3 linked regions of the Drosophila melanogaster genome follow. Changing the gene in region 1 together with any one later gene gives a genetic interaction. Each region holds a gene or a part of one and is shown in the gene's direction. Other genes may lie near its edges.

Region 1 (8,902 bases):
GGACTTGCTGGAGGATATGGACTCGTCCAGCTCGGTGCGTATTTCCTTTATCTCCATTGTCATGCGGCGGTTTGTATCCTGCGAGTCGCGAACCTTTTTCCGGAGATCTGTTAGCTTTTGCTCATACAATTCGGCCATTTGGCGCCTCTGCTCCTCATGGTTTGTCTCGGACTTGAGATTCTGCTCCTTGATCTGCTGCAGCATATCCTTGTAGTTTTGCAACTTCATGGACAAATGCTTGCACTCTTCGAACTTGGCATTGAACTCCAACTCACGGGCATCTAACTTTTGCAGCGTGGATGCCAGCTCTTGCTTTTTGTCCGCCAATTGTTTCTCATATCGTTGCTCCGAAGCGATCTTGGCTTCTTCGTACTTTTGTCGATTAAGGCGAAGGAGATCGGTGATAGTGGCTTCCTTCTTGGACCACATTTCCTCGTCTATTTTGGCCGAACTTTGGAGTGTCTTAATTTGCGTCTTGCAAGTGGTAAGCTCCATTGTTTTCTCCTTGATAATCTGTTGCAGCTTCTTAATTTCCATTTTAGCATCGGCTACCACCTGAGATTTGTTATCGGTCTTCCTCAGCGATTGCTGAGCCCGCAGAAGATCTTGTTTCAGCATGGAAATCTCGTTCTCTCTAGTCTTCAGTTTCTGCAGCAGTTCCTTTAGCTTCTCCTGAAGCTTTTCATCGGTGGTAGCGGAAATTGCCGACTTTTCCATGTGCACAAAACTGTACCCAATGAATGGCAGATCCTTGCCACTGAAATCATTCGATTTCATGTTAGTCGTAAGGGACTTTTTAGCAACTCCCTGTTCTCTGCGAGTCTTATGACGAATTCCGTCCTCGAAATTGGAGGTATCATCGTCAGACCTAACAGTTGGTATAATCGGTGGAACCTGCGAGCGAATGGAACCCCACGGAATTTCGCTAAAGAAGGGGTGATTCTTAATGCGCTCATAGGACAATCGCTTCGAAGGATTTGTGACCAGTGACTCAATAAGATTTCTATAGTTAACAGACACCTTCAAGTCGGCGGGAAAGCTGATGAGCTCTTTAAGGTGACTCTCCTCGCAATGGGAGAGAATCTTGGAGTATGTCTCGTGTACATTGTCCTCGTGAAAAGGTGTTGTCTCGCATATTAACTCATATCCTATAATGCCCATGGACCAATAATCGCAGCTGACCTACAAAATGAGTTCTTGTTTTAGCTATGAACTTTCCAAACCAAACTCTGCGATCGTACAATTCTACTCACATCGTGCATCGACTTGGACAGCTTGTAGGTGGATATGGTTTGCAGCAGCTCTGGAGCTATGTAATCCGGTGTTCCCACCGGCGACAAACTCAGCACATGGCCATCGCGATCCAAGGCAGCGGCATTACCGAAATCAGCCAGTTTAATATGGCCAAAACGATCAATCAGTATATTTTCAGGCTTTATATCCCGATGCACATAGCCCATCTCGTGCAATGTGTGCAGGGCCACTGTGAGCTCGGCCAGATAGAAACGAGCCAAGTCCTCATCGAAAGGGCCGTGGCGTGACATCAAGCTGAGAAGGTCTCCGCCGGGCATGTACTCCATGACCAGGTACAGATTGTCGTTATCCTAAGTGATAAGTTAATTCAAGTACTGAAATATGCGAAAATGTGGAAATAACAAACCTGAAAGGCATACTGCAGATTGATTAGCCATTCAGAGTTGCGAATGGACATGATATCGCGCTCCTCCTTGACTTGTGACGTCGTCACCACCGACTTTTTGATCTTCTTCATGGCGTATATGTCGTTGGTTTGCCGCTCCACCACCAGGTGAACGTTGCCAAAGTATCCTTGGCCAATAAGCGTCTTGATGAGGAAGTCATCTGCGTTGACCCTGAGTTTGCGGGTCTCCTCTATGATGGGACGAACTGGAGTAGGAAATTAGATAGTAATATAATGGGTAACTAGGCATGAGCTCTATTTTCAAGGAGGGAAACCGGAACATACAGGTAAATCTATAAGAGATTCTACTCCCAATAATTTTGTGGGCTTTAATAATGGAATATGATTAGCAAAAGTAGATTCTCTGACCCGAGGAAGTAAAAATGTGGCTTCTGAGTTCCATTTCTATAGAATGGTAGATACTCCATCCGAAAACCCTGCTGACCAATGCAGTTGACTCACATTTGTTGACAAACTCGGCGATGTTGCGATCGCGCTTCTTCAGCGTATCCTTGTCGCACTCGTTGTACAGCAGACAGAAGGCGTCCAGGAGTCCCTCGCGGCAGATGGCCTCGGCCACGGCGGCGCTAGTGGTGCTCACGGGTACAATGCTTCTCCTGGTGGAGGCGGGAATACCTGATCCGGAGGCGCTTCCAGCGGGCTTCGCACAGACGCCAGCTCCTTTGCCCAGAATCAGGTTGTTCAGACGCGCGGTGCGCACGCTAATCGGCTCCATCTTGGGTGGCATGATGGACTCACTTTTATTTGCAATTTTCTCACATAAATAATACAATTAGAAATCCGTAAAATGCCAGAGCATTTTTCTGCCGTTTCGCTTTGAAAAAAATGCGCCGAGGGAAGCCGAAGAGCCAGGGATGCGTGCTCACTTTCCAGAGTTGTATTTAGGGTTGCAAGTAGGGCTGCCCTGTGAAAGAGGATAAAATTTGAATTTTAATGCAAACAGAGAACGGATAAATAATGAAATAGTCTTATTTACTTTTGGCAACCTTTTGAAGCGTCCCCTTTTATATTTTGCACAGTTTTGCACATAAACAGTTATTATTATTATTTCGCTGCCGCCGCCGCTGCTATACAACCGCGCTTTCCAACACCGTCGAGGCTCTCGCTCGTATGCATCGTTCATTTTCGACGGGTAGGTTTTCGCAGACGGACGGAGCAAAGATTTGTGCATCGAAAATTGCAATTTTCACATTTGGAGCCGTGTGTGCAGCATCACAGACATTGGAAAAGCGCTTGTCGCACTTGTGCAAAAACACAGCTTGATAAAGCAAACGCGGCTAGAAGGCGATTGGCCGCAAATTCGCCCTGGAACTGGAACGCAATTGCGTGTGAAAAAAAGACGGAAAAAAAGTAAAAGAGCAGAGACTGAAACCGTCGAGAAATCGTTGTCGTCGCGCTCGCTATAATTGTTTGCTTTTGACAGAGAAATTCGTGTGCCTGTTGGCAGAAACATTTAATAATAGTTTGTATTTTCGGCGTGAGTGCGCAGTGAAGCATCGAAGTAGTTCAAGATGAGCGGGGGATTACCGGAGTTGGGCTCCAAAATCAGCCTCATTTCCAAGGCGGACATTCGATACGAGGGCCGCCTGTACACGGTGGATCCGCAGGAGTGCACCATTGCGCTCTCGAGTGGTAAGTATTTAATACGAAAATCGCCCACGTCGCCCATATATGTACATATACGGGATATACATATGTGGGTGCCGTAATCTGCGCCAAAAAAAAAGAAAAAAAAAATCGTGTAAAAAAACGGTTCATCGCAAAAGAAAATGGATTCTGTCCATTTCTCTTGTGTTGGTGGCTCTACTCTTTCTTTCCTTTTGGTTCGTTTCTTTTTGTTAGTTTTTACAGTAATTTCATACTCGTGGAGACGGTGAGTGCAATTGCCGCCACCGCTCTCTCCATTACCCATTTCGACAGCCGTCTCTCGCTCTCCCACTTATGCTTTTTGTTTGTCATGTTGGCTTTGGCCTGTTTTTGTCTTTGGTTGTTGTTGTACAGTGTTGCTTTTGCAATTTACTTGGCACACATACACCCGCGCACAAAGTAACGAGCACCAGCAAGGCCCCAATGCAATTTGTTTATTTGCAAATACAATTTCGATTTGGCGCCAGATAACGGGATCCAAGGGCTCCCGTTACGGATGTCAGTGCCCTGGAAGTCGAAAAGGAGGAACGGAGAGCGGAGAAATACCGGCAAAACATGCGTTCCCCAGTTGAGGTTAAATTGGAAGCGCGGCCTAACCTTAATGGGTTTACAAGTTTGCCGCAATCCAAGTAATTCGTCTTTTGAACAATTGCATTATATAATGCGGTGCATTCATTTTAAAACAATTGGAATATAAACTTGAAAGATGTGGGCTCGGAAAGTTCCACTTATTAGATGGAGCACTTTTAAAAACCGACTTAGAATACCGGTTAAGCAAAAAAGGTAGCTTATTTGCAATGGAAAAATTTAAAAATTTAAAAGTTTAGTTTTGTGAAAGATCTTTCTTAAAGCAATGGAATAAAAATGGCGGCTGGGATAAGAAAACTTTACGGAAAAAATGTTCACTATTGTACTCTTTATACGATTTAATATTATAACTCAATTCATTTTAACCCTCTTTTCTTTTTCAGTGCGATCCTTCGGTACAGAAGATCGGGACACCCAGTTCCAGATAGCGCCGCAATCGCAGATCTACGACTACATCCTATTCCGTGGCTCGGACATCAAGGACATTCGCGTTGTCAACAACCACACGCTGCCGCACCACAATGACCCGGCGATCATGCAGGCGCAGCTCCAGAACGGACCGCCCCAGATGCCGCAGCACTTCCCCATGCCCAGCGGGATGAGCGGTCCGCCGCAGCAGCAACAGGTGCCGTCGCAGCAACCGCCCCAAATGCCAAGCGGTGGAGGCAGTGGTGGTGCTGGTGGAGCAGGAGCTCCTGGCGGCGGCGGACCCGGCTACGGCAATGGCAATCCGTTCGGCAACCTCGGCGGTCCCAATCTGGCCAACATGGTGGGCAATGCGGGCGGATCGCTTGCACCCGGTTCCGGTGCTCCGGGCAGCGGACCCTTCATGCACATCGGTGGCAATCAGCAGCAACCGAAGCCCCAGCAGCAGAAACAGCCAAGTGAGTTGGTGTAGACCACACATTACTAAAATTACATTGCACACAAGTAGAACTTCTCATTTGTGATCTTAAATCAAAATTCGTTTCCTGCTAAAAAGCGATTGCTATTTTCAAAAACGCAAATTCCGGGAATAGTTTAAGATATGGTTCATTTTGTGGCTTTATCCGATAAGCGAGCATGTCGATTTAAATGCTTAAAAATTACGCTCTTTTACTCAGCCCTTTAAAATAGTTAATGTCACCTTTTGATACAAAGTATTTGACACAAGTATTTGTTTGGACTAATGTTTTTGGTGCCCACACGCATTACTCTCTCCTTTACTTTCGTCCTCGTTGCGTCCTCTATATGTGTACAGTTTCCGTTCTAGACATGCTGGCCGGTGCCTCGCGATCGACGACGCCCATTAGCCTGATTGTGAGTCCCACGGCGGAGCTGACTCAGCAGCAGCAGCTGCACCAGCAACAGAACGCTGGCCAGGGTGGCAACGGACGCGATGCAGGACATAAGCGCCAGAACCACCAGCAGCAACAGAATCAGCAGCATCAGCAACGTGGCGGACCCAGCCACAACAATATGCAGCAGCAGCAGCAACGAGGCGGCGGCAGTGGAACGGACTTCTATAACCAGCAGCGGGATCGTCGGGACTCCGGACGTCAAATGGACAACAACTATAGCAACAACTACAACAACAATAATAATAATCAGCGCAATCGCGGCGGCGGCAACGGAATGCAACAGCAGCAGCGAGGAGGAAACGGCGGCAGCGGCGGCGGCGGTGGAAACGGAGGTGGAAACAACCCGGCCTGGAACATGCATCGCGGCAACCAGAACTCGAACAACATGATGAACATGCGCAACCGCGGCATGGGATCCCGCGGCCCCATGCGACCCAATCAGGTACACCTGCTGGTGACTCACACTGCTATAGATGGTTTATTAAACCCTGGCTTTCACATTTTGCAGGGCTATCGTCCGCAGTCGGCCAATAATCAGAACAAGCCGCGGAACAAGATCAAGTTCGAGGGCGACTTCGATTTCGAGCAGGCAAACAACAAGTTCGAGGAACTGCGCTCCCAACTGGCCAAGCTCAAGGTGGCCGAGGATGGTGCACCCAAGCCAGCCACCAATGCAACGGCCGCCACTGCAACTGCAACCAATGAGCAGGTGGGTGAGAAGGTTGAAGGCGTTCACACAGTAAGTCCACATACACTTTTTATTTTTATACACTACAAATTAGTTCTAAATGAATAAGAGCAGTTTATTAACAAATAAGGTAAATCTTCTTCTTTATTTATTGCTTGTTTAAGTTCAGTTTAAGTAACATTTTCTATACGATCGTTTTAAGAGTTACTCACTATTTGCATCATCTGCTTGCAGCTGAATGGCGAGACCGACAAGAAGGATGATTCTGGCAACGAGACCGGCGCTGGAGAGCACGAGCCTGAGGAGGATGATGTTGCTGTGTGCTACGACAAGACCAAATCGTTCTTCGACAACATCTCGTGCGAGGCTGCCCAGGATCGCAGCAAGAACAAGAAGAACGATTGGCGCCAGGAGCGCAAGTTGAACACGGAGACCTTCGGAGTGTCCTCCACACGACGTGGCAGGTAAGTCCAATCGAAGCAATCAAGCAAATGCAGTGTGGCTCATCAACTGAATGTATTCCAAGCAGTTACCGCGGACGCAACCAATACTACAACAATAATGGCAACGGCGGCATTAACTCGGGATATGGAGGAGCGCCAGGCTACAACAGGAACAATTATCGCATGGGTGGCGGCGGCGGAAACTTCCGAAACAGGAGCAACAATCGCAACAACGGCGGCGGTCGTGGCGGAAACGGAATGCCAAACATCACCAATGGCAACACGGCTGCTGCGCTGAAGGCGGCCAACAATGCTGCTGGCCACGGATCCAATGCCACGGACTCCAGTGCACCAAATGCCACAACCGCGACGACAAAGTCGACGTCCCTCTTGCCAGAGCAGACGCAACAGGTGGCGGCAGTTTGTGAGTAGCAATTACATCTAAGCACTTCATTTGCAACATGTTTGTTTACATGTGTGTCTGTTTACTTTTGCAGCACAATAGTGCCGCCCGGCCAGTGGAAAGCCACTTTAAATATACACCAACCACAACCAACAAACCACAAATTGATAGATGCGAATTGAGAAGAGCGTAAAGTAAATATCCTATTCATTGCAAAGCTAATTATTCGAAGCAAACCAATCAAGTGACCCGAACGATCGACGACACACAGGCTCTTATTATCAGGAATTTCGAGTTATGGATCCAGCGGCATAATATATTTGTATAATTAAATTAGTGTTACAATTCTCACGACGTCCTGGGGCGCACTCCGCTGCTGCCCGCCCACCACCACCGTGTGCTTGGCGATGATAAGCGCTCTACGATTCGATTAATGATTAGCGACTAGCGCGAATGTGAATGTGAATGTGAACCGAACCGAACCGAACCGAACCGGCCATGTGTTAGGCTTTGTGTAAATGGCTGGTTCCAACGCCTTGCGCTGAGCAAAAAGCACGGCATTGATAAGAAGGAGCAGATAATGGCACGCCAGCATACATACATATATTTAGTAAGAACATAGTTAAGCATAAGTATGAAAAGCTACAAAAAACAAAACAAAACGAAAGCAACCATTTAGCAAGGAGAGGAGCAAGGAGATTTGGCGGAGGAGCCGATAACAACAATAATGAAATTAATGGAGTAAACCAATTAAATCCATGGAATTCCCAAATCTAAAATAAAAGCTAACTTAATACGTTTTTATTTGAATGAAAGAGTAACAAATCGATTGTAATATTGTATTTCTTGTGGGCGTAAAACATCGACAAACGCTCGACCCGTTTTACTAGCATTTAAAACAACTATTATTTAAGAGCATTTTAAACATGAAAAAAAGAAAATAAAATCGGCAGCTACGCGCTTCTATCAAAAGCACAATTGTAAAAAGTCAATCCAGCTCAGCTGCAATGAATGAATGAAGTCTCCCGAATGAAAATGTTAAACGAAAAAACCCCAACAAAAAAAAAAAAAGAAAACAACCAATCATTAGCAAATTTGTCCAAAAAGAAAAGCCCAAATTTTCGGTTTTCGTACAGTTTATTTTCTCTGATCTCGGTTGGGCAAGGGAAATTATACTTACGATTCGAATCGATTTGAAAAGATACGATACCTATGGTGATGATGTTCTCAATGTAAATGTTAAGATTGATTGTGTGATTCACTGGCTGCTGCGCTTGAAATCGAGGCCTTCAAAAGCGAGTAAAGTACGCGTATCTCCAGCTGAATCCCTTTAGATATTTGTTTGTTATCCTTGTATCCAGATATATATTTGTATTCAGCACAAGCCCAGTCCAGTTTGGCCAGTTAACACGCTGGCAGAGAGAAGAGGGATGAGGATGAGGATGAGCTGGCGGAGTCACCACAAACATTTCAATATTATGTAATCATAAATTATGTATCTAATTGTATGTAATATGTATATCTCCATATATGCTCACTCTGATTAGCTCCACATATGTATGTTTGTATATAAATACGCAATTATCGAGTTGAACACTGAAAAGAAAGCACGTTTCGCAAGTAATGGCTAAATTGTAAAGACTACCACGTATGGAAATTAAAAACTAAATATACCATGTAATAAAGGATAATTGAATTCAAGCAGTAAGCAACTACGGTTAACATTTTCATTGTACCATCGGCATATCCACGATATCCTTTGCCATTTCCGGTGCAGCCTTGGAAAGGATGAAACGCAGATGTGGAGCCACGTATTTATGTATGCATGAGCCTTTGTACAATGTCCTAGAGATTCGATTAAACTCCCGCCCCTAAGATATAATTTTATAACTGAAATTATTTACTAAACCAAAATAAAAACAAATGAGAAGAACTCTAACTTTAAAAGCATGCGAAACAATGAATGTAGGAAATCAAAAGTGAAATAAAGAGTTAAGACAAAAACGTAGTGGTTACACATCATTTGACCAGCATTGGTTTTGTCCACTGGATGAAGGGAGAGTGGGTGGATTC
Region 2 (6,049 bases), on another chromosome or scaffold:
GCCACCATGGCTATTGATTTTCCACCAGGGGTTGGGTGGGGATGCACTTCTCTGGCATGAATCACCAGAATCACATCCTTCCCCGCATGACGCACGCCGTCGCGGCATGCAGCAAACAAACAAATAAACAACCAACTGGGCTCGAATGGAGTAACAATAACTGGACAGATAAGAGCAAACAATAGGCTCCATTGGGGCCCGTCATCGATAGTGGCATTCCCGAGTCCTTATCAGTTTCCTCCCAGCCAGCGGAGCACCTAAGCAACCAGTACTTGCCCCTCGCGGACAAAAACAGTTGACAACAAAAAGCTCACTTGTGATTACGTCTACTGTGCTCCCCGATGCAGTGGAAGCTGATTCATTGGCTGGGAGAAAAGCTGTTTCAGGGGATTTCGTTTACAATAAATACAAATTTTTTTTTGTTAATAGAAATTACAAAGCTAAAACTATCACCATGACCAAACACTAAGTAGAGTCCATCTATGGGGTTTCAAACCAACTGGAAGCCCTTTATTATGATTGCTAGGTGGAGATCCAGGAAGACTCTGCAGCATACTTTGTTTATTTGCAAAGGCGTATCTAATCTAAGGTTTATTTTTGAAATAAAAGATAGCGAATTGTATAGAAATCAACTAAATGTGGGGCTGCTCGTAGCTTTGCTTCGGTGAGTCATAAGGTCAGAAATGCTAATCATGTACAATTTCCAGGCTTACCTAATATACGCGAAAATAAGTAGAGTAAATAAAGTGAGCGCAATAATGGAGCTCACTTGTTGTGATGATAATAGATAACCGGAAAGCAAGCTCCAGCCCTTTACTATCTATGAGCTTTACCTGGCAAATACTACTCCCAACTGGGTATCATCTGCTCGCTGACCCGAAGGAAAGCCCACAAGTGCTCGATAGGAACCCAGAAGCCTCGCGATTGCATCGCTTGCCCTTATCTCCCCCCTCGCCAGCCGGAGAACCGAGCCACTTGACTGGCTAACTCGATATTGATATCGGCTATCGTGGAGCCAGAGATCGTCCATTGGCCTTTGGCATTCGATACTGAGAACACCGGAGAGGCACTACGCTGAGCAACCTTGGGGAGTGACTCACTTGGCGTTCGGCGCTCCAATCAGAATGCGAATGAGCAGCAAGGCGGGCGTGGATAAACAAGTGTAGTGCAACTGAGCAAACGGCGAAGTGGTGACAAGAGGAGTCGAATAAACGCGGTGTGCGGAGAGAACAACATTGGCAGTGATAAGCGTATAATTATCAAATATATCAAAACAAACTTATGCAAGCCACATAAACTGACTTCCCTTCTCATCCTCTATAATTTATTTACTTATGCAATAATTTCGACGCTACACATACTGACAATTTCCTATTTAGTTGCTTGGGTTCAAGTCGTACATAAGCATATGTACATATGTACGTACATACATACTACTAGTTAACAACAATATTGAAATGGGAATTTAAACAGTCAGTCGAAGGAACGCACTGTCAACCGATTAATGAGCTGAGCATTACATGTATGATGTCCTGTAATAATGAATCAATTGAATATGCATGCAACTGATAGCTTTCCCAGTCCAGTGAATTTTAATTAATGTTTTCCAGCGCCGAAACAGCACACATTGTTGGTGGGAATGGGAATGTGAAGTGGGGGAAATGGGAAAGCGGGCCGAAGAAAGTGGAGCTTTCGTGGGAACCCATAAATTCAGCGGCCAAATGAAGCAAGATGATTGCAGGGCGGATTAAAATCAATAGCCAGCATGCAGGTGGAGCAAGTGGAGTGGGCCGAATGGCAATGAAGTTACTTATTTACTATGAGTACCACAGGCACATTCGCACTCAGGTGGTGATAAATTCATAGCATTTCGGCTGCCCGTCCGTCTGCTAATTGAATTTTCAATATTTATTGCCTGGCCAGGACACATAGCGTACATACCACTACCGAATGCCTGCAGCCGAGTGAAAATGCCCCTCGATGGGCAGAGAATTTATGTGCTGACATTACAATGGACGCAATATGGCAGGGATTTGAGGCGTTTATTGATTCAGGCAGCACTCCAAGTCGAAGTCGGCATCGAAGGCATCGATTGGCCAGGACGAGGATGGGCCATGCAACAGTTTCGGGCCATGTGCCCTGGACAAAGATCCACCGAACCACACACTGGCCGTCAGGGGCGATTATGCATATACATATACATATATATGAGTCTGCCTACCGGCAACCGATGGCAGGGTGCTCCCATTCTTATTTTCAGCAATGCGGCACTAAATTTAGCAAATAAAAGCTCACCCGGCTCGTTCTTTGGCAGCCAGAAAGCGAGCCACTGCCAGGGGCATCGAAGCGGAGATACCCTGTACCGGACACCTAATAGTTCCTACACAAACTTTTCTCTATGTGCACTCCATCAAACATCTGGTGCCTTCTTGTTCACTAGCTCGCAGCAGCGCACGTGATACCCTGTAATTCGAAACCAGGAAGCATCCGCCTTGGACTTACGCAAATTCCCAGTGGTCCGCTGGTGGCTCGGCTCTCATTTTTGCATTTTTCTTCGGAAAAGTCCGCGCGCTGGAAAAGTCAACACAAGTTCACCTCTCCAAATTCGTGCGTGGGTGTGGGCGGAAGGTGGTGGTAGGTGGATGGTGGGCGGGAGTGGGTGGTTGGCGATTCGAGAGGGGGCGGTGCGTGGGTGGGTTTATTTTTAGCGCTGCTGCGACGGAAACGCGACAAGTCGGAGATTCTGCTTCCGCAATGTTGTTGTTTTTGCAGCCGTTATTATTAACAAATATTACGCTATCCACGGGCTCTTCTTCTTGCTTGTTTGCGTTGACAAATCTCGTTGCGCTTTCACAATCACATCAAATCGTGGGAAAACTGGTTTTCCCCCCGTTTCTGAGCGGTTCACTCTTCGGTTCGTGATCGTTTGTGTCCGCGGGCAATGGAAAGTCTTTGTTTTTCACACGCGTTTATCACAACAGTAAATAAAATATCACTTTAGCCAGTTTAATCAACTCGGAGAGCAGAACTTTTAACCGTGAGAAATAACCGCATACTGAAGTGGCCAAAATCTGGGAAATCGCCATGGAGGAACTCGCGGAAAATACCAAATCCATGGCATGCAAGCTTTATTATCAGTGGCGTAGAAGAGGGGCCTTATCTGATTAATCCTCGCTCTATAATTTTGAACCGCTTGCCATTTTTAAGGGCTCAGGATAATGAGATTTGTTATTCTTCCAGATTAATGTCATTAAATTAAAATCTTATGTTTCCCCCTTATGTTTATAAGAGTAATCGCAAATATTCAATGAAGAAAAGAATATTTTATTTTATTGAACTGCCGAAATCAACAAATTAAACGAATGTAATTAATTTAAATTTTAAATTATAACACCCAAAAAGTGTGATTCCCCGAAAATATCAGTTATTATACAACGTTATTTCGGAATTTGTAGAGGTATTTTCTGGCGCTCCCGCTGCGGTCACACTGAACACGAGTTTCGTTTCGGAGATTGAAAGAAATGGAGATTGACTTGGGATTTGCGGAAAAGAGCGACAATGGCGCCTGGCTGAGCAACCGCTACTTTCCCAGCAAGCTGGGAGGCCAGCCCGCATGGCTGGAACTGGAGGCCTTGCCGCCCACGTCGCAGCTGCAGTGCAGCAAGTGCAGGGCACCCAAATCCTTCCTGGCTCAGCTATACGCTCCCTTCGAAGACGAGTACAACTTTCATCGGTCCATCTATGTGTTCCTGTGCCGGAATTCCGACTGCCAGGAGGCCCAAAATGCAAGGTAATCCCTTCTAGCTCTGAAAACCAACTTGCAACCTAATCTTACCCATCTTTCCAGCAATTTCACAGTCCTCAGGTCACAGTTGCCGCGAAAAAATAAGTTCTTTTCGGAGGAGGAGCCGAGCGACGTGGGTCAACCCCTGGTAGGAACAGCAGCCATATTTTCAGAACATACTCATCATAATATGTTTTCTTAGCCCGCCGTTCCCTGCCTAAAGAAACTATGCGCCGCCTGCGGTTGCCATGCTCCTCACGCCTGCAGCAAATGCAAGGCAATCCACTACTGCTCACCAGAGCATCAAAGGGCCCACTGGCCACAACACAAGCCAAACTGCGGAGCACCAGAAGTAGCCACTGAGAAGCCCTTAACACAAATCGTTTTCCCAGAATTTGAGATTGTAATGGACAGCAACCCCGTGGAGTCTGGCGAGGAGGACAAGGACGATGAGGCTCGCTTGGCGGAGTTCCAGGAGCTGGAGTCCAGCGGGAAGACGGGCGACTTGAGCAATGTTTCCGAGGCGGAGATGGACAAGTACTTCGGAAACTCGGCGGCCGCCGATGACAAGACCTTTCGTCAGTTCAAAAAGCAAACAGCAGCCGAACCCGATCAGATCGTGCGCTACAAACGTGGAGGCCAGCCCCTCTGGATCACGAATACCGTCAAAACGGTGGAGGACCAACTTAACAAGCTGCCCAATTGCATTGCTTGCGGAGGAGAGCGTCAGTTCGAATTTCAGATTATGCCGCAAGCGCTGACTCTTCTGGAGGACGAAAACCTCGACTGGGGCGTCCTGGCCGTCTACACTTGCGCCAAAAGCTGCCCCATCGACGGCTACGTGGAGGAGCTTCTCATCAAGCAGGACATTGTGGCGGAGGATCAGAGTTGACATTAAAATGCGTACATTTAAATTTTATTCTTGTCAATTACGAAACACGTGAACATTTACTTCAGCTTGATGATGGGGAAGTAGCTGTGTTTGGAGAAGTCGAACTCTGGCTGCCGCTTGACTTCCTTCTGGTGACCGCGAGCCAGCACATTCATCACCACAAAGTTAGTCCGTGCGATTTGCAGGAGGTCCAGCATCTGAAATTAAACGAAACGCATTTTAATCCAGGAAAACCAATTCAGAACTACCATTGACTTACCTCCTGATCTGGGTTTTGAATGCTTTCGAGAACATTGCGGGCCTGGTCAAAGTGCTTGGCCGCATAGGTATATAGATCCTCGACGCTATGTCGCATCATGTGCTCCCGGACGTTTTTGAACTCTGCGTACGAAACTGGCGGAGGACTGGTGAGTGTGGCGAAGGGCAGGAAGCGTCGGTTGTAGCGGATCTCCTCGTTGTCGAACTTGGACAGCGGCAGTCGCACGCGTCCGTCTTTGGTCAGGGCGCCCATTGCTTTATACATTCCGCCGCAGAGGCTGAGTAGCGCGTGGTAGAAGACGATCTCGGCGCGGTACGGCCTTTGAGTCTTTTTGTTCTTTTTCGGCTTGGCCGCCTTGCGGTTTTTAGCCGCTCCGCTGCCGCCCGACTGGGTCTTACTTTGGTGCTCGGCGTACTCCTCCTGGGCCAGGAGGATGTTCTCCGTGCGCGTCAGCGCGGAGACCAGGAAGCCAATGAGGAACTCGTATGGATACCAGTAGATGTAGAGGAACTCATGCACAGCATATAGTTCCAGCTCAAAGCCGGACATCAGGAAGATCAGCATCGCACGGAAACAGTTGTACAGCACCCATGTGGAGAAGTGGGTGCTGTGCTTCAGAGCGGTGGCCATGGGCTCGTTGCCCTCCATGGCTCGTTCGTTGGCCAGTTGGTTCATCATAGAGTCCAATCGCGCTGCATCCACTTGGATGGTGTCGAAGTTCTCTATCAGACGCGCCAGCTTATCCCGCTGTCTGGCGCGATTGAAGCCGCAGATGCGAATGAACTGCGTGAAGGTGTTCATGTTAATGCAGTAACGGAAGAAGTTCTCCAGGTGCTGCTGCACCTTGGGATCGGCAGCCACCGGATGCTTGGCATTCAATACGGGTGGCGAGTTGAAGACCTGAACCGAGTGGCGCAGGAACTGCTTCATGGGAAGCTTTCCGTGCGCCATACGCATGTTGGCGCTGAACAGGGTTTGCAGCACGCTTCTGGACAGGATGCACTGGCCCGACTTTTTGCTGTACTCGATAAAGAAGTTCTGGAAAGCCAGGATGTTATTACAATTTATTTTAGAAGTCACTTAAAAAGTCACTTACCAGCGCCGAATAGTAATC
Region 3 (10,052 bases), on another chromosome or scaffold:
ATTTTTACTAAGCCTTATACGTAAAAGGTATAAAGGGGGTCAATAGGTAAATGTACGATTATTGGCTTATAAATTATTAAAGAAGCCTGACAGACATTGACTTTTCCAAAAATCGAACAGGACATTGCGTTGTTTAGTTTTCACAAAGGCATCAAAGGGGGAAAATTTGAAGCCCCTTTAATGGCAATGTCCCTTCTTTTTACCTCCACCCAATGCTCACCTGTGCATCTCTCTATTTCCAGCGGATAACACGGCATCGGGCGCCTCGACAGCTGCACACGAAATCTTCTGGCAGTTCTGGCCATCGCAGCTCACAAAGCTCCCCATCAACAGGCAGTTGGCGGGGGCGTGGCACTGGCTATGTGGGGGCGGTGGAGCGGCTGCTCTTCTCCTTTTTTTCCTGCTGCAGCAAGGGCCGCTGGGCCATCAAATTATCAACTGTCAATACACTAAGCCGGCGACTGGCAAGGTGCAACAGCAACAACGCAACAGCGGCAGCAGCAGCAACATCGAGGTGACAGCTTCAAAAGCGGCAACATCTAGCGCATCTAGCGTCAAATGCTTTTATAATTGTCAAATGGCTATGGCGATGCCAACTCGAAGTCGTGATGATGATGATGACGGTGGTGATGCGTATATTGGCAGCACGAGTGCAAATGCAACGGCAACAGCGACAGCAACTGCCGATGCTGATGCTGCAGATGTTGCTGCTGCAGGAGGAGTTGCGAGTTGCAGCATTAAGCGGCTGTCAGCGACACTTGTGGGGGGCGTCAATGCTGTAAGGGGCGTGGCCAGTGGGCCGGATCAACGATTATTGATGACTCGGCGGCGAGAAAGGCGGCAAAAGAAATCGCAGGCGATGGATGCGATGATGCAGTCGCGTTGGAGCGCGTGCTGATGCCGAATTGATGATGAAATCCATTTTCGAAAGTAGCTTAAGGTGCTCGCCACCGTGCAAAATAGCCAGTATATGGCTCTTTTCCTTTCGCACCCGAATTGTTGAAGGGCATAATTAATATACATTCGTACTCATACTGATTGCATCAGCCAGCTGCATAAATCGATCTGGTCGTAGCTCTTAAGTGTTGAACGCATAAGGTCAGGGAAAGTGCAGTATATATTTAATTATTGGCAGAGCAAAGTCAGCAAGTAGATATTAAACCGATGAATAATAACAGGAAATGAATTAATCTTAGGTAAAATACAACATACGGTGAAACCATTAAATAAAAAGATACCCTGTACGCCGCTATCTCTCAAATCTGTTTTCGGCCTACTCACATTTTCGCAACAGAATTAAACGGAAATATATTGTGCTGTAAAACAGATCACCAATCAATCACATTACTTCCATTAACTATGTGAAACTGTTCTGTTCACTGTTAAAATTAAATATCTATTTGTCATATTTATTATTTTGTAAAAATAGTAACACATTTTATTTTCAGCTAGACACACTTTTCAGACAATAATATCAACTCAATAAGCATATATGAATGCTACAGCAAGGTATTTTCACTTTTTATTCCCGATACTTTCGAACAGATCTTTACTGTAAAAAATAAAAGATCACAATAAGCCACGACAAATGGCTCTCAGTGAAGAGAACATTAAGAGATGCGGAAAGTCAAACCAAAAATGCACAGTTGCCTGGGCACTGGGCACGTACAGGGTGAGAAAATGCGTGTGCTCAGTCACTGAAAATCAAAATGTACTTAGAATAAATACTATGTACTTCAAACTCTTATGTTATATATCAAGCGTTAAATATATTCAAATAAAAAATCAAAAAGTTATAGGAATTGTGCACAGTGTACAGCAAGCTGAACTTTAGACTGCACTTGAGCTTAGCTTTCGGGTACCGTAGTGCATTTTAAAGTGGGGTTTTGACAGCTTCAAAATTGTAAACAACCGAATATAATTTAAGTCAATACTAATACCCGTTACTTTTAGAGTAAAAGAGTGTTCTAGATTAGTGGAATCGTTTGTAACATTATAAGGTATTCATCTGAGTAACGGGTATCTTATAGTCGAGAGAATCGACTATAACTTTATTTTGTTTGTTTTCTCCTTTCAGAATGAAGAAGACATTATGTCAATGTGTAAATAAAAGCTTAAAACCAAGCACAAAATTAATATTTTGTAACATCCACTGTACAGAAAGGAACTTTTTACGGTTGTGGAAATGAAAAGCAAAATTAATTATTATAGCAAGCGTTTATTTGTAGAAAACAACGAATACATAGAGCAAATTAAAACGAAAAAGAATCTTTATTTTCAAGTCTTGTTTCGGCAATATTAAAACTCGATGAAAGCAAAAGAATTATTTGAACATTTTTGGCCAACAAAAATCCAGCGGTAAATAGTTCCTTTACCTTAAACACAATTCAATGTATGCAATGGGTAATCGTAGCCCAAAAACAAATGAAAATGTATATTAAAAAAAAATAACAATAATAAAAAATAAATGTTGAATAATTTATAAATTCAGTACATATATTTAAAGTGTAAATAAAATGATAAAACGTAATAATAAAACTTATGAAATATAAATTAATTGGTGTACATGCAAAAACAAGTAATACAAATAGATAATTATATAATAATAAACTGCATGCCGCCAGATTTTTGTAATCAAATCGTGTTGTGAAAGTTGTCTTCCCTAATTTATGCCCATTACATTAAAACATTGACAGGGGATTTTAATTTTAATTTCAGTATGGTTTCAATTATGGCCAATATATATAATAAACTATAACCATATGTATAAGAATGTAAAAAGCTAGTTTTATGTACATAAAAATGGGACAAACATTTTGATGTTACTGAATAAATATTAAAAGTATTAACCAAGAAATATGAAAGTAGGATAAAAAAACAGTGAATGTTTCCAGCTGCTAGGAAAAACGATAAGTCTTAGATCTATAAAGAGAATCAAAAACGCGGTCAAATGCATAGCACATAATATATTCATATCCCCAATAAATAACCCGAAATGTGTAAAGCCAGAATAAATGTAATAATAAGATTGAAGAAAACAAAATAGTGATGTAAAATAGCAGCAAGGAAATAAAGTAACCCCTATTCAATAACTATTGCTGACGTCTTTTACTCGTACATGTCATCATTTAATTACGTAATTTAAGTTTGGTTTATTTAAAGTTTGATTTCCGGTTGTACAAGGGTGAGCGTACTTTTAAAACCCACTGTATATAAATACTTTGGTAAAGTGCAGGTTGGGGAGTTTCAGAAGCTTGAAAAGCTCCGTTTCCCGTTATAAAGCTATTGCTGAATATCCGTTATCCAGTTGGCTGGCAGCTTTTTAAGGTTGTTCGTGCACTGGCTTCACTCCCCACAGAACACAGAGCTTTTGGATCTGAAGGTCAGTTGGGACTGGGACCCACATGCCGAGCTTAGTTTGATAGTCAGCGCGCTTTAATGACGACAACTGCACGGCGCGCACAACCCATTAATAATATATTAATTCAAAAGAGCTATAAAATATTAAAAAATATTCAAATATAACTAACTAACGCGCAGTGCACGATTTTCTGACAACAATTCAGTTTCGCTTTTCATGAGACTCCATTGCATTTTCCTTTGTGTTTTTCACACACGTGGTGTTTTTCTGTTACTCGCACTTCGATAGTGGTTATTTTTTTTGGTTACATTGAAAAAATACACCGACTGCCAGCCGAATTCCCATTCGAACCTTAATTTGACCAATTGACGGAAAATTAATTGCGCCCAAAATTAATTAGCAAGCGGATATACAATTTTTTTACGTGAAAAGAGCGTGTTATTTGTCGAAAAGATTTTACAATTGATTGTGTTTAAGTAAATTAACCTGCGATATCTATGTGTATGTGCTACGATCCGAATTTCTGACATTACGGTAAGTGGCGTGTTTTTGGCGGGAATAAAGTCGGTTTCTCTTTGTGCCGTATTTCTCTACCGTTTTTTCTGGCGCCAAAATGAATGAAAACGGTTGGCAACATTTCAAACTTAACATTGCAACATTCTAACCGCTGTTAAGCGTTTGCTCTGCAAATTGTTGTAGCTATGTTGGAGTTCTGGAACACCACCTCTCCCTGCGACTTTGTTTTGTTTTTCGCTCTCGACATATGGAATCGAATCTCTTATTCCGGGAGCGGTTCATTGACCCAGCAACAACAATATTCGCCAGATTTTCTCCTGCCAGCGATTTGCGGAATTCATCCGCTCAACAGTTAGAAGTAAATGCCGTCGAGCAGCGGGCAAAATCGATCGACGAAATCGAGAGCCGCGTTCAGTTGCCTTCAAGCCGTACTTAGAAGAAGTGCTGGTCCCCCAGAAATCAGAGAGATTTTTCCCAACTTGCATTTTTCCAATACTCTGACAAAGCCCCTCAGACCGTCGCAATCACACAGCTATATACTGATATATAGATCTCTATTGCGCAGATCACACCTTAAATGCCTTTCGTCGAGAGATTTCAACAAATACGTAATTTTGTTATGAACGTCTGCCTCGTCGAGGCCATCCAATTCGTCCAGGACCTCTCGCACGCCATCTGTCTGGACCTCCAGGGCCTATTTAATCTCAAGTAGAGATCACCGAGCGATCTCCCAGCGGTAAGTTACGCCATTGGTTTTTGGGCACAAGGAAGTGAAAGTGAAGACACGGGTGAAATTACGGTTTTCGGGATCTCGAGAGAAAGGGGAAAGTACGAACCTCATGGCAGCAGCACTCCATTTTGAGAGGTTATGTGAAAGAACACACAAGAAAGTTTGGAATTTTCGACAGGCGGCGAACCAATAATAATGTTGTTATCCATAATAATATTAATTAGTGAATTTTTATTTCACCTTTTCGCGGCATTATTCTCACAAATTTATAAGACAGATTTTCAAATTAAGACAGAAAGTTTTTTAATGTTAGTGAAAAGTACTTATTCCAGTTGATAGTTAAATACTATTTACCGCAAAAAATTAAAAGAGAACTAAATTTAAAGGTAAAATCGTTTTTTTTTTTGGAAAGTGCATTGCTTAAATTATGGTACCGACTATCAAAATAAAAATAATTAATTTTTATATGGTGTTTCAATATTCACTTTAAATTACCTATGACTCGCTTTCTAACCACTCTCTTCTTATTACGAACATCAATTTTCTTGTTACATCATTTCGGACCTTTCATTTTTCATCACCAGCTCATCCCATCAATTCAGATACACTTTACTTCATTAAGTAGCAGCAATCATCTAACAAAGCTGACCAAACAACGGACCGGCTTCCAGAATCCTTAACTGAGACGGACGTTTTGCTTGGTTTTTAAAACTAAACGACTTTTTGGTACCCACACCTGTTGACCTCTGACGAATTTCTCGATCCACTGACCGATCCACTGATCCAGTGATCATCATCATCATCCGAATTCCACAATGTTGTCCTGTGCCTCTTTCAATAAACTGATGTATCCGTCGGCCGCAGATGTTGCCAAACCGCCAATGGTGGGCTTGGAGGTGGAAGCTGGATCCATTGGATCCCTGTCCAGTCTTCACGCCCTTCCATCGACCACCTCGGTGGGCAGTGGAGCCCCCAGCGAGACGCAGAGCGAGATCTCCTCCGTGGATAGCGATTGGAGTGACATACGCGCCATCGCCATGAAGTTGGGCGTTCAAAACCCAGACGATCTCCACACGGAACGTTTCAAGGTGGATCGACAGAAATTGGAACAGTTAATAAAAGGTAATGCCTTTATATATAAAAATAATAGATTCCTTATTATACATTGCCTTTTTTCTGATAGCGGAGAGCTCCATTGAGGGAATGAATGGAGCTGAATATTTTTTCCATGACGTGAGTACATATTTTTAAGTTTTGGGCACCTATTAGCTTCACACTTTCTTTTGTCTCATTTTGAGACACAGAATGCCATGCCTTATAAATATTGAACATATAATAATATGTTTCCTATTCAATAGTATATTAAGTTATTTAGTTTTTGAGCAAAATTTTTAAGTTAATTGATTCATGTCTTTGTTTGGCAATCTGACTTTGCATCTATAAAATTTCAGTGTATAACCCAATTTGTTTTAAGATACTGTTAGGACCGACTCTTTTGACTTGATATAAAAGAATTCGCCATATATCCAAAACATATTCTTTTACTAGATCATGAACACTACGGATACTTATGTGAGCTGGCCTTGCAGACTCAAAATTGGTGCCAAGAGCAAGAAGGGTAGGATATTGAAATATTTTCAATGTTCAAGAGTATTTTTCAAATAAATCCCATAATTTAAAGATCCCCATGTGCGAATTGTGGGAAAGGTGGATCAGGTTCAGCGGGCAAAGGAGCGCATCCTTAGCAGTCTTGACTCCAGGGTGAGTGAGCCAAAGCATAATACAAACTTATCTGTTTTAATTGTTACCCATTTTTCTCCGAACAGGGCACTCGAGTGATCATGAAAATGGACGTCAGCTACACGGATCACTCGTACATCATCGGACGAGGTGGCAACAACATCAAGCGCATAATGGACGACACGCATACCCATATCCACTTCCCCGACTCGAATCGCTCCAATCCCACGGAGAAATCCAACCAGGTGTCGCTGTGCGGCAGCCTAGAGGGCGTGGAGCGAGCCCGGGCTCTCGTTCGGCTCTCCACACCGCTGCTCATCTCCTTCGAGATGCCCGTAATGGGACCCAACAAGCCGCAGCCCGACCACGAGACTCCCTACATCAAGATGATCGAGACCAAGTTCAATGTTCAGGTGAGTTCCAGATGTCGGAGTCAACTAAGTGTAAGATTATAAATTAATTATAAATTAATCATGGCATGTTACCAAATATTATTTGCATTTGACTATAATGGCTTGATTAGTTTAACTAATTTAGGTAAGATTTTGTAATATACATTCATACATACATTTAAGAGGGGGTATAGAAAATGTCAAATTTTTTTTTCCCAACCCTTGAGAGTTGTGATTATATATTGCTCCATTATAATTTTATCAACTGATGTTACATTAGGCTAATTTTGCAGTTGTGTTATTATTATATATTTTTAAGTGATTTAGAACGCATTTAAAGTAATAAAGTTACTTAAACGTTATTTTCGAATTTGGCAACCTTAAATTACAACCAAGGATTTTTGTAAACAGTTTTTTCGTTGCTCTTAATTATTATTGAATATATTTTAAAGATTTTTCCTCCTTTCAGGTCATATTCTCCACGCGTCCAAAATTGCATACCTCGCTGGTTTTGGTCAAGGGATCCGAGAAGGAATCGGCGCAGGTCCGAGATGCCACGCAGCTGCTGATCAACTTCGCCTGTGAGAGTATTGCGGTAGGTTCGAGAAGGATAACTCAAAATAAGGCTCATCAGCGAATCCTTTTTCCTTTTTAGAGCCAAATCCTGGTGAATGTCCAGATGGAGATCTCGCCGCAGCATCACGAAATCGTCAAGGGCAAGAACAACGTGAATCTGCTGAGCATTATGGAGCGAACCCAGACCAAGATCATATTCCCCGATCTGAGCGACATGAACGTGAAGCCCCTGAAGAAGTCCCAGGTCACGATCAGCGGACGCATCGACGACGTCTACTTGGCGCGACAACAATTGCTTGGCAATTTGCCCGTAGCATTGATTTTTGACTTTCCGGACAACCACAACGATGCATCCGAAATAATGAGCCTCAACACCAAGTACGGCGTCTACATCACGTTGCGCCAGAAACAGCGGCAGAGCACCCTGGCCATTGTGGTCAAGGGAGTGGAGAAGTTTATAGGTAAGATCTCTAAAGCAATGTGTAAAGTGTATGATTTTCGTTGATTCTGCATTAATATACGATTGCACTTTCCATTATTGTTTGATTTTTATCCCATATTTTCCTTACTTTTTAGATATATTATACAATTTAAGATATTTAGCAAGTGCTGAATTAAATTTCCGTATTAATCCGTTGTTGTCACCCTCCTTAGACAAAATCTACGAGGCCCGCCAGGAGATCCTGCGCCTGGCCACGCCATTCGTGAAGCCCGAGATCCCCGACTACTACTTCATGCCAAAGGACAAAGACCTTAATCTCGCCTACCGCACCCAGTTAACTGCTCTGCTGGCTGGGTATGTGGACAGCCCGAAGACTCCATCGCTGCTGCCGCCCTCCTTGGCTGGCCAACTGACGCCCTATGCCAACAACAATCACCTGTTGTTGAACGCCAATGGCTTGGCCACGCCCACTGGGGTGTGTGCGCCCACCCAAAAATATATGCAGTTGCACAACAGCTTCCAACAGGCTCAGAATCGTTCCATGGTGGCTGGTGGGCAGAGCAACAATGGCAACTATCTGCAGGTTCCTGGAGCGGTGGCGCCGCCTCTCAAACCGCCGACTGTTTCGCCACGGAACAGCTGCAGTCAGAATACCAGTGGTTACCAGAGCTTTAGCAGCAGCACCACCTCCCTGGAGCAGTCGTATCCGCCGTATGCCCAATTGCCGGGCACCGTGTCGTCCACTTCATCCTCCACCGCGGGAAGCCAAAATCGGGCGCATTATTCGCCAGATTCCACTTACGGCAGTGAGGGTGGTGGCGTTGGCGGCGGAGGTGGTGGTGGGGCGCGTCTGGGACGACGCCTTAGCGATGGAGTGCTGCTGGGGCTGAGTAATTCCAACGGTGGAGGAGGTAACTCCGGAGGAGCCCACCTCCTGCCCGGCAGTGCCGAGAGCTATCGGAGTTTGCACTATGACCTTGGAGGAAACAAGCACTCCGGCCACCGTGCCTTTGACTTCGACATGAAACGGGCCCTGGGCTACAAAGCCATGGAGCGCACCCCGGTGGCAGGGGAGCTGCGAACACCCACGACCGCTTGGATGGGAATGGGCTTGAGCAGCACCTCGCCCGCCCCTGCCCCGCTGGAGAACGGGGAAAATGGGGCTGCTGGTGGAGGAGCATCTAGTGGGTGGCGGCTGCCACCAGGACTGGGTTCCCCTTACGGACTGAGTGCCACCACCGGACTCCTGGACGCCACTCCAGTCAACCGACGGATGCAGCTAGCCAAGCACAAGGACATCCAGACTCTGCTCACCAGTTTGGGTCTGGAGCACTACATCAGTGAGTAGCTCCGCCGATCATGTCCGTTTTTACCAACTGTGTACTAGAAGTCTTTTATAAAGCTATCATATATGTCTGGCTTGAACTGGAGAGTGTTTTATTTAACGCAAACGTTTTTTCACAGTCATAGATAAAGTTACATAAAGTTCAACATCCATATAGCATTTAAAATCAAACTATTTTATATTTACAACCTGGGAAAACTACAGTTTTTATTTCTCCTTTCAGAAATATTCGTTCTAAACGAAATCGACCTGGAGGTGTTCACCACCCTGACCGAGGAAAACCTGATGGAGCTGGGTATCGCGGCGTTTGGAGCTCGCAAGAAGCTGCTGACGGCCATTCACACGCTGCTGGCCAACGAGGCGGCCTGCAGCACAATGCCCAGCAGCAGCTCCTCGCAGAACTCCTCGTCGCCGCGATTCTCCGGAAGTGCGGCCCCAGGCGCAGAGCGCCGTCCCTCCAACCAGTGGTGATCCGCTCCTGTCGTTCGACCCCATTGCCTCGAATTCTTTTTTTCTTTTTTTTTTTGCATGCCCATTTATTTGGTAGTCGTAAGATCAAGAGAATCGGAACGGTAAAAAGTATAGGAAGAAGTCAGGAAGAAAATGGCAACTCCCTGGGCGAATAGCTTTCCCGCACAACACAGCCTTGACCTTGACTTATACTCGCATTTGTACTCAAATTCCAAGTAGCATAGCTGCGCTCGGGAAAGTGCACAGTTTTCCCAGTGTGCCAATAGGTCGTAGTTGCCTTTATTTTAAGCGATTAATTTATTTTGAAATTATTTATATAGGAAACCGTCTTAAGCAAAAAAAAAAAATATTGTGAATTATTTATGAAATCTAACTAAACGAAATCACTTGTTGTAAGAAATGAATTTATGTAAACTAACTGAAAAAGAAAAAAAAATTAAAAACAAAAGCACAGCATGTATTAAGTGATAAGCAAAATA

The links. A genetic interaction does not mean that the proteins touch.
Region 2: of tral (region 1) and Zfrp8, changing one suppresses a phenotype caused by changing the other (phenotypic suppression), as found in Drosophila melanogaster (one study listed by BioGRID).
Region 3: of tral (region 1) and BicC, changing one enhances a phenotype caused by changing the other (phenotypic enhancement), as found in Drosophila melanogaster (one study listed by BioGRID).

Annotation. Positions count from the first base shown.
Region 1 is NT_037436.4:12,512,221-12,521,122, forward strand, and holds tral (trailer hitch), read left to right. Parts: upstream 1-2,838; 5' UTR 2,839-3,231; coding exon 3,232-3,352; intron 3,353-4,338; coding exon 4,339-4,839; intron 4,840-5,195; coding exon 5,196-5,737; intron 5,738-5,803; coding exon 5,804-6,034; intron 6,035-6,217; coding exon 6,218-6,447; intron 6,448-6,509; coding exon 6,510-6,850; intron 6,851-6,923; coding exon 6,924-6,931; 3' UTR 6,932-7,475; downstream 7,476-8,902. Other genes in the region: sti (sticky), read right to left, coding at 1-1,182, 1,242-1,604, 1,661-1,905, 2,162-2,447.
Region 2 is NT_033778.4:24,130,495-24,136,543, forward strand, and holds Zfrp8 (zinc finger protein RP-8), read left to right. Parts: upstream 1-3,494; 5' UTR 3,495-3,521; coding exon 3,522-3,790; intron 3,791-3,847; coding exon 3,848-3,932; intron 3,933-3,986; coding exon 3,987-4,676; 3' UTR 4,677-4,732; coding exon of another isoform or gene 4,733-4,873; 3' UTR 4,874-4,911; downstream 4,912-6,049. Other genes in the region: Naa35 (N(alpha)-acetyltransferase 35), read right to left, coding at 4,733-4,873, 4,936-5,973, 6,032-6,049.
Region 3 is NT_033779.5:16,038,633-16,048,684, forward strand, and holds BicC (bicaudal C), read left to right. Parts: upstream 1-3,414; 5' UTR 3,415-3,895; intron 3,896-4,284; exon of another isoform or gene 4,285-4,442; 5' UTR 4,443-4,454; coding exon of another isoform or gene 4,455-4,589; 5' UTR 4,590-4,613; intron 4,614-5,191; 5' UTR 5,192-5,422; coding exon 5,423-5,729; intron 5,730-5,790; coding exon 5,791-5,840; intron 5,841-5,919; exon of another isoform or gene 5,920-6,155; coding exon 6,156-6,225; intron 6,226-6,288; coding exon 6,289-6,368; intron 6,369-6,433; coding exon 6,434-6,760; intron 6,761-7,208; coding exon 7,209-7,334; intron 7,335-7,394; coding exon 7,395-7,776; intron 7,777-7,969; coding exon 7,970-9,097; intron 9,098-9,325; coding exon 9,326-9,573; 3' UTR 9,574-9,994; downstream 9,995-10,052. Other genes in the region: beat-Ic (beaten path Ic), read left to right, coding at 243-898; CG45084 (uncharacterized protein), read left to right, coding at 4,455-4,589. UniProt on the Drosophila melanogaster protein: RNA-binding protein that is involved in oogenesis. Required for correct targeting of the migrating anterior follicle cells and the establishment of anterior-posterior polarity in the oocyte. May act as translational repressor of oskar during oogenesis.